2 linked regions of the Callithrix jacchus genome follow. The protein of the gene in region 2 interacts with the protein of the main gene of each other region in a pairwise test. Links are inferred from orthologs where the notes say so. Each region holds a gene or a part of one and is shown on either strand. Other genes may lie near its edges.

What was found.
Region 1: the proteins of RPA1 (region 2) and RPA4 interact in binary tests that used the Homo sapiens proteins (3 or more experiments, as listed by UniProt). The link is inferred for Callithrix jacchus from reciprocal best matches to the Homo sapiens genes RPA1 and RPA4.

The regions. Positions count from the first base shown.
Region 1 is NC_133524.1:93,083,882-93,087,489, forward strand, and holds RPA4 (replication protein A 30 kDa subunit), read left to right. Parts: upstream 1-1,461; 5' UTR 1,462-1,867; coding exon 1,868-2,653; 3' UTR 2,654-3,034; downstream 3,035-3,608.
Region 2 is NC_133506.1:66,416,441-66,420,962, forward strand, and holds the start of RPA1 (replication protein A 70 kDa DNA-binding subunit), read right to left. Parts: upstream 2,803-4,522; 5' UTR 2,686-2,802; coding exon 2,653-2,685; intron 1-2,652. UniProt on the Homo sapiens protein: As part of the heterotrimeric replication protein A complex (RPA/RP-A), binds and stabilizes single-stranded DNA intermediates that form during DNA replication or upon DNA stress.

The sequences.
Region 1 (3,608 bases), on a different chromosome or scaffold from region 2:
ACTCCATGTTCTTCTATGTTTTATATATATTCTTCACACATTTATGTAATTTTGAGAAAAGAGAAAATAATTTAACCAATAAAAGAAATGAGAGCATTAATAAACTCCTCAAAACTCTACTCATTTAGGCTGTTAACTAACTACAGAGGATTGTTAGGAGGTTACTTGCCAATGGTGGATTCCAATAACTGTGGTTTCTTTATTAACCATTATAAAAGACTTTAAATCAGTAACACCCAAAATAAAATGTTTTATAAAGAAAAACAAAATTGCGGTGAAATATCAAAAAATTCTTGGCTGGGTATGGTGGCTCAGGACTGTAATCCCTGAACTTTGGGAGGCTGAGGCAAGTGGATCACTTGAGTCCAGGAGTTCAAGACCAGCCTGGCCAACATGGTGAAACCTCATCTCTACCAAAAATACAAAGAAGTCTGCCAGACATGGCAGTGTGTGGCTGTGGTCCTAGGTATTCAGGAGGCTGAGGTGGGAGGATCACCTGAGCCTGGGAAGTGGAGGTTGCAGTGAGCCCAGATCTTGCCACTGCACTCCAACCTGAGAGACAGAGCAAGACCTTGTCTCAAAAAAAAATTTTTTTTCTGTTTATACAACTGCTAGAATCTTAAGTTCAGAATTTACTCTGTAAGAGCATATTAAAAACTTACTGTGATTTTGTCCATGTTTTACCTAATATATAATAGGCCTAAGTCTTGTACTTTTCCATCCTGTCCACAGAGCCTTGAAAATAATTTAGAACTCAGTCATTCAGTTTGGATTTATGTATAAATTGAAATATACTAATTACTTATTTATAGTGCACTTGGCAAAATAGCTGGAAAATTGCAATTTTAAAATAACGAAAAAATTTTTTAAAGCCAGTGTTAAGATGTGACTTATCTTAGAGTATGATAATCATTGAAAGACGATTGCCTAGTTTTTGTTTTTGTTTTTGTTTTTTTTTTTGAGACGGGGTTTCATTTGCCACCCAGGCTGGAGTGCAGTGCAGTGGCGCGATCTCGGCTTACTACCACCTCCACCTCCTGGGTTCAAGTGATGGTCCTACCTCAGCCTCCCTAGTAGCTGGGATTGCAAGTGTGCACCATCACGCCTGGCTAATTTTTGTATTTTTAGTAGAGATGGGGTTTCACCACGTTGACAGGCTGGTCTTCAACTCCTGATCTCAAATAATCCTCCTGCGACGACCTCCCCAACTGTTGGGATTACAGTCTTGAGCCACTGTGCCCAGCCAATGCTCCTAGTAATGGTTTGAACAGGGGAGGTGAGTTCTTAAAAACAGTAACCACAGTGGTTCATTTTTCCCCTTGCACATAACGTACAGCACTCTGCCATTGGGCCAAGCACTTTGTGCTCCTAAAATTTCTGTTGCATTGTTGTTTCAGTGAATAAATGCGTCTTTTAAAAGTGATTGCAGAAGTTGCAGCATTAAGAAATAAAGAGGGGAGACTAGTAAAAATGCATTTTGATAGAGATTGCAAGAAAGGCTGGCTTTGAAAGACACGTGGGACTTTTACTAGACAGGCGCTTTGACCAGCTAAGCAACAAGGGTCCCCTCGTGTGGGACTTTTAGAATGTAGCAATCACTGGCACACAGGGAAGGATTATCAGATCAGGTGAGAAGGTGGCAAGCCCGGATTGGCTGGAAGCAGATGCATTCTGGTAGCTGATTGGTCCCACAGGTAGCGTGAAGCTTGTCCGAGCATCAGGTTCCCAGCATTCAATCGGAGCCTTCTGTGGAGAGCTCGGAGTCTTCTGTGGAGAGCTCGGAGTCTTCTGTGGAGAGGTCCAAGCCTTCAGTGGAGCCCCGGACAAGCCAAAGCCCACCTTCTCCTTGGCCTGAGCCGTTTTGAAGATGAGTAAGAGTGGGTTTGGGAGCTATGGCAGTATTTCTGCTGCCAGTGGAGCGAGTGGAGGCAGTGACCAACCATCTGAGAGAGGTGCAGCTCCTGTTGTTAAGACCCAAAGACCGAGGGTCCGAATCCAGAACATCGTACCGTGTAATGTGTACCAGCTGCTGAGCTCTACTGTGTTGGATACTGTGTTCAAGGTTAGGGGAATTACAGTTTCCCAGGTCTCCGTCGTGGGGGTAATCAGAGAGGCAGAGAAGGCTTCAAATCACATTTGTTACAAAATTGATGATATGACTGCGAAGCCAATCGAGGCCCGACAGTGGTTTGGTAGAGAGAAAGTCAAGCAGCTGACTCCACTGTCAGTCGGACTATATGTGAAAGTGTTTGGTATCCTCAAATGTCCCGCGGGAACCAAGAGCCTTGAAGTATTGAAAATCTATGTCCTTGAGGACATGAATGAATTCACCGTGCATATTCTGGAAACGGTCAGTGCACACATGATGCTGTATAAAGCCCGTGGTGATACCACTCTAGAAAGTGTGCCTGTGTCTCCATCAGAAGTAGATGATGCTGGGGATAATGATGAGAGTCGCCGCAATTTCATCCGGGATGAAGTGCTGCGTTTGATTCACGAGTGCCCTCGTCAGGAAGGGAGGAGCATCCATGAGCTCCAGGCTCAGCTCTGCGACCTCAGCATCCAGGCCATCAAGGAAGTGATTGATTATCTGACCCTCGAGGGCCACATCTATCCCACTGTGGATCGGGAGCATTTTAAGTCTGCTGATTGAGACAGGGAAACCATCCTTTTATTTTCTGAAGACCCTTGCATCCAGCTGTGAGTAATTTTGACCTGTTGACTTTTTAGGAAGGACTAAAAAAAAAACAACAAAAAAAAAACTCAACTGGCATTCTTCAGCAACTCGCTGCTTTTCCAACTACTTTGAACTTTTCTTTTTTTCTAGCTATATTTGAAGCTCAAGATGGTAATGGATAAAATGACTGAACTCTTTGTAGGATTTACAAGCAAGCTAATGGAAACATGGTGATTTTGGGGGAAGAAAAACTACAGAAAATGTTAAAATTTATTATTTAATTGTGTTCGAACTTCTTTTTCCAAAATATCTATGTATTGGGAAAAACTAGTTGCACTCAGGGAGCCAGCTAAGAGAAAAAAAAAAAAAGCATTGCTTGTTTTTAATGTTAGACTTATTTTCCATGTTTAGATATAGCTTATTATAGTGATATTGTTATCTCTTGCTCAATATAGTATTTAGTATTTGATTAATTCAAATGAGCTGAAGATACTTATTTGTGAATTCTAATGCTCAGTTCATTTATTGTGTATTTGCTGTTATTACTATGAATTTATGTTTTCTTAAAATAAGATTATACTGTGTTTAAATAAATCATTTTTGCCAGGTTATCTTTGAATATAGTTTTTTAATGTGGGTAAGTTTAATGATTATTTCAAATATGATGTGGTATTTGATGAAATTACAGTTTCTGGTAGTTGTATGGTAAATAGATGCCAGAGTTTCTGTAAGATTTATGTGCTGGTATGTTCTGTATTTTACTAAATGCTCTGTTTTATGTATAACAGGGTACTTTTTAGGAGGTTAGGGAAACAAGTCATAGGAATATGAAACTTACTGAGTTTGACACAGACTTATTCAAATGTTGTATTAAAATAGTTTTACAAAATCTTAACTTTCCTTTGTGATTTTTTTCTAAGTACATTCGAAA
Region 2 (4,522 bases):
TGACCAACATGGTGAAACCCCGTCTCTACTAAAAATACCAAAATTAGCTGGGTGTGGTGTCACGAGCCTGTAGTCCCAGCTATTCGGAGGCTGAGGCAGGAGAATTGCATGAACTCACGAGGCGGACATTGCAGTGAGCCGAGATTGCGCCACTGCACTCCAGCCTGGCACCTGGCGACAGAATGAGACTCTGCCTTAAAAAAAAAAAAAAGGTGCAAATTACTGAATTAACATGGATAAATCTCAGAAACCATTTTGGTCCAGAGTGGTGGACTGTGCCTGTAATTCTAACACTTTGGGAGGTCAAGGTGGGAGGATTACTTGGGCCCAGGAGTTCCTGATCATCCTGGACAACATACCAAGATCCCATGTCTACAGAAATTTTTTTTTTTTAATTAGCTGAGAGTGGTGGCCCGCATCTGTAGTCCCAGCTACTCAGGAGGCTGAGGTGGGAGGATGCCTTGACTTGAGTTCAGGAGGTCAGGGCTGCAGGTGAGCCATGACTGGGTCACTGCACTCCTCCCTGGGTAACAGAGATCCTACTTCTGAAAAACAAAAAGTTGCTGAAAGAAGCCAGATATAAAAGGGTAGATATTATTTGATTCCATTTATACAAAGTTTTAAGAAAGTCAAAACTAACCCATAGAGATAGAAACCAGAAGACTGGTTGCCTAGGGTGAAGACAGAGGTGGGGAAGGAGGAGGAACTGCACATTAATGAAGTATTCTGGGGCATTGTGGTTAGAGGGGTGCATACATCTGTCAAAGTTCATCAGGCTGTACACTTAAAATAGGTGCAATCACACTTGTAATCCCAGTACTTTGGGAGGTTGAGGCAGGCAGATCATCTGAGGTCAGAATTCGACGAGACCAGCCTGGCCAACATGATGAAACCCCGTCTCTACTAAAAATATAAAAATTAGCCAGGCACGGTGGCACATGCCTGTAGTCCCAGCTACTCAGGAGGCTGAGGCAGGAGAATCAATTGAACCTGGGAGGCGGAGGTTGCAGTGAGCCGAGATCGTGCCATTGCACTCCAACCTGGCAACAGAGCGAAACCCCATTGCAAAAAGAAAAAAAAATGTGAATGAAAAGAAATTGGTGTCTCAATTTAGCCTAGTAGGAGAAGTCACAAATGAGCTGAGATATGAAGACTGTATTTGCCAGTGTTGGGAGGAGTGAACCACCCAGGCAGTGGGCAGAGGGAAAAGAATGTTCAAAGGCCCCATGGAAGAAGGTAGGAGTATGGAATATACCAGAAATCTAAATTAAAAAAAAAAAAGTGGGGTGACTGGAGAGGAAGAGAGAACAGGAAGAGAGAATATGCTAGGGATGGGAATGGTGGCAGGAACGCAGAGTGGAAGTGAGCAGTCCAGGCAGAAGATGACGGTGCCCGTGTGGTTGGAGAGCAGCAGACAGTCTTGAGAGATCCACGTGGAGGTAAAATACACTTCACCTGGACTGGACGCCAGGTGGTGCAGAATATAGAAGGAATGATTTCTCAATTTCTGGTTAGCACTGAACAGATAATGGTGTCATTCACCGGGATAGGGATCAAGAGGCCCAGACTTTACCAAGATAACGAATTTGCTTTGGGATGTGTATATTGAACTCAAATGCCTCTGAAGCATGAAATCAGCAGACAGATTACAGAAGTTCGTCTTTTAGAGTAAAGGTGGCTCCGTATAAAATTTGTGAGCAATGACATATATTAATAGATGGCAATGAAACTGCTTTGGGGTCAGCCACAGTGGCTCACGCCTGCAATCCCAGCATTTTGGGAGGCTGAGGCGGGCAGTTCACTTGAAGTTTGAAGTTCGAGATCAGCCTGGCCAACATGGTGAAACTCCATCTCTAATAAAAACACAGAAATTAGTCAAGTGTGGTGGTGCACAACTGTAGTCCCAGCTACTTGGAAGGCTGAGGCAGGAGGATCAATTGAACCCGGGAGGCGGACGTTGCAGTAAAACCAGATCGCGCCACTGCACTCCAGCCTGGGGCACGGAGTGAGACTCTGTCTCAAAGAAAAAAAGAAAAGAAAAAGAAATCGCCTTGGGAGTCAAGAGGGCCTATAGTAAGCCTGGAGTCAATAAAAATTTGCAAAGAGGGGCCTGCAAATAAGACGGGGAAAGACCCGCCAAACCGAGCCACTAAAACTCAGTGTTTTAGTGTGATCAGAAGGAAGCGGTGCTCAAACGCAAACGCTACTGAGAACTCAGGTAAGCCGAAAACGGAAAAGTGCTGGATTTGGCAAATTGGAGGCCACTGGTAACTTCAGCCAGAGTTTCCGACAGCGATCAAGGAGATGGCTGGAGTGGGCTGAAGAGTTCATGAGAGGCGAGGAAAAGAAGTGGCTGAAACCAGACAAATAGGAGCTTGCCTGTAGTTAGGAAGAGACAGAGAAAGTGGCCGCAGGTGGAAGATGGAAGGCAAGTGTGTAGTTAGTTCTTAAGTACGAAAAACGTGAGCATGTTTCAAAGACGATCGGAAGAATGCTCTGAGGAGGAGTGATGACTGGAGGGGCGCCCCGCGTTCCCCCACCGTCCCCCACTTCTCCCTCGCGTTCACCCCCTTCGCCCCGGGCTCCCCTCCCCCTCCCCACTCCTGCAGGCTCCCGGGCCGCAGCCACCCGGATCCCCCGGCGCCTCCTCACCGCAATGGCCCCCTCACTCAGTTGGCCGACCATGGCTCCTCCGCACCGACTCCCGCGCGAACCCCTCGGCAACCCGAGCTTCCCACCGCCCCGGGTCCCGAGCGCTGCGCAGTTACCCGCCTGAGGGGTTGCGCGCGCCGTTCCCGCCCCCGACGTGCGCGCGGCACAGGGGCGGGCCCGGCGCTGCGCAGCCGCCGCATTGGCCAAGGCGCGGCCCACGTGACCCTCTCTCAGTACCGAGCTAGGCGGGGCGGGGCGACGCCACAAGGGGTGCGCCTGGAGCTGCGCGGGCGCGGGGAGAGAGCTCCGGGCCCAGTTCCGGGCGCCGAGGGCCGGCGTTCGGAGGCGTTCCCGCCTTGGCGTGTGGTGGGCGCTCGGATTGGCAGCCCAGGGGTTAGAGCTGCTCCCCGAGACCTCTGCTGCCAAATGTGGTCGCAGCAGTGACTCGGCTCCTTCCTCCAGCGGCGCGGGGCTGACTTCCCGCCCGGGTCAGACCCTGAGCTTGGCACCTGCAGGGGTCTGCGAAGACCTGGGCCCGATCCTCCGAGGAGAGTACAGTCTGTGAGGGCAGTCTATGCCGTGAGTAGCCCTACCTCCAGGTGGACGTGGGACAGCAAATGTGCATCATACAGCTTAGAAATAATGGCCGGGCGCGGTGGCTCACGCCTATAATCCCAGCACTTTGGGAGGCCAAGGCGAGTGGATCACGAGGTCAAGAAATCGAGACCATCCTGGTCAACATGGTGAAACCCCGTCTCTACTAAAAATACAAAAAAATTAGCTGGGCATGGTGGCGCGCGCCTGTAGTCCCAGTTACTCGGGAGGCTGAGACAGGAGAACTGCTTGAACCCAGGAGGCGGAGGTTGCGGTGAGCCGAGATCGCGCCATTGCACTCCAATCTGGGTAACAAGAGCGAAACTCTGTCTCAAAAAAAAAGAGATAATAAATGCCAGAAGGCTGGGCACGGTGGCTCATGTCTGTCATCCCAGCACTTTGTGAGACCAAAGTGGGTGGGTCACTTGAGGTCGGAAGTTTGAGACCACCCTGGCCAACATGGTGAAACCCCCTCTCTACTAAAAATACGAAAGTTAGCTGGGTGTGGTGGTGCACACCTGTAATCCCAGGTACTTGGGTAGCTGAGGCACGAGAATTGCTTGAACCTGGGAGGTCAAAGGTGTTGGAATCACAGCTGGGAAATCAGGGAAGCATTCTCAGAGGAGGTGCCATTTGCACACCGTCGAAGACGTGTGGAGGTTTTCCAGGTGGACTCCATAAGCGAGGATAGGGTTGGTGCGCAAAGCGTGAATAGCCTATGCGAAAATACCGGAGAGGCAGAGTAGTCTGGCAAGCCCGACAGCAGTGAGTGGCTGAGTATGCAGGGGTGTAGAGGGAAAAGTGAGGCCTAGAATTAGAAGGTCAGCCAAGGGGTAAATGAGAACGGGTTCGACCTGGGCGTCCTGGATGCTAGGAGGAGCACTGACTTCTTAGTGTTGGAGGCTGGATTGAGAGTGGGAGTGGTCCCAAGGGCAGGGACACTAATTACGACCCTCTGGGAAAAATACCAGACAACAGATGGTAAAGACTTCAAGCGAAGAAATGGCCTATGGGTTCAAAGAGGACGCTGAACTATGAGAGAGAAATAGCTGTTAATTGAATAGTTGTTGGGGGGGGGAGAAAGGAAAATCTGGATCTGTCTCAAGTTTCAGAGTTGAGAAACAAGGCGGGATCAGGCCGGGCGCCTTGGCTCACGCCTGTAATCCCAGCGCTTTGGGAGTCTCAGGCCAGCAGATCACCTGAGGTCAGGAGTTCGAGACCAGCCTGGCCAACATGGTGAAACCCCGTCTCTACTAAAAATATAAAAAGTAGCCGA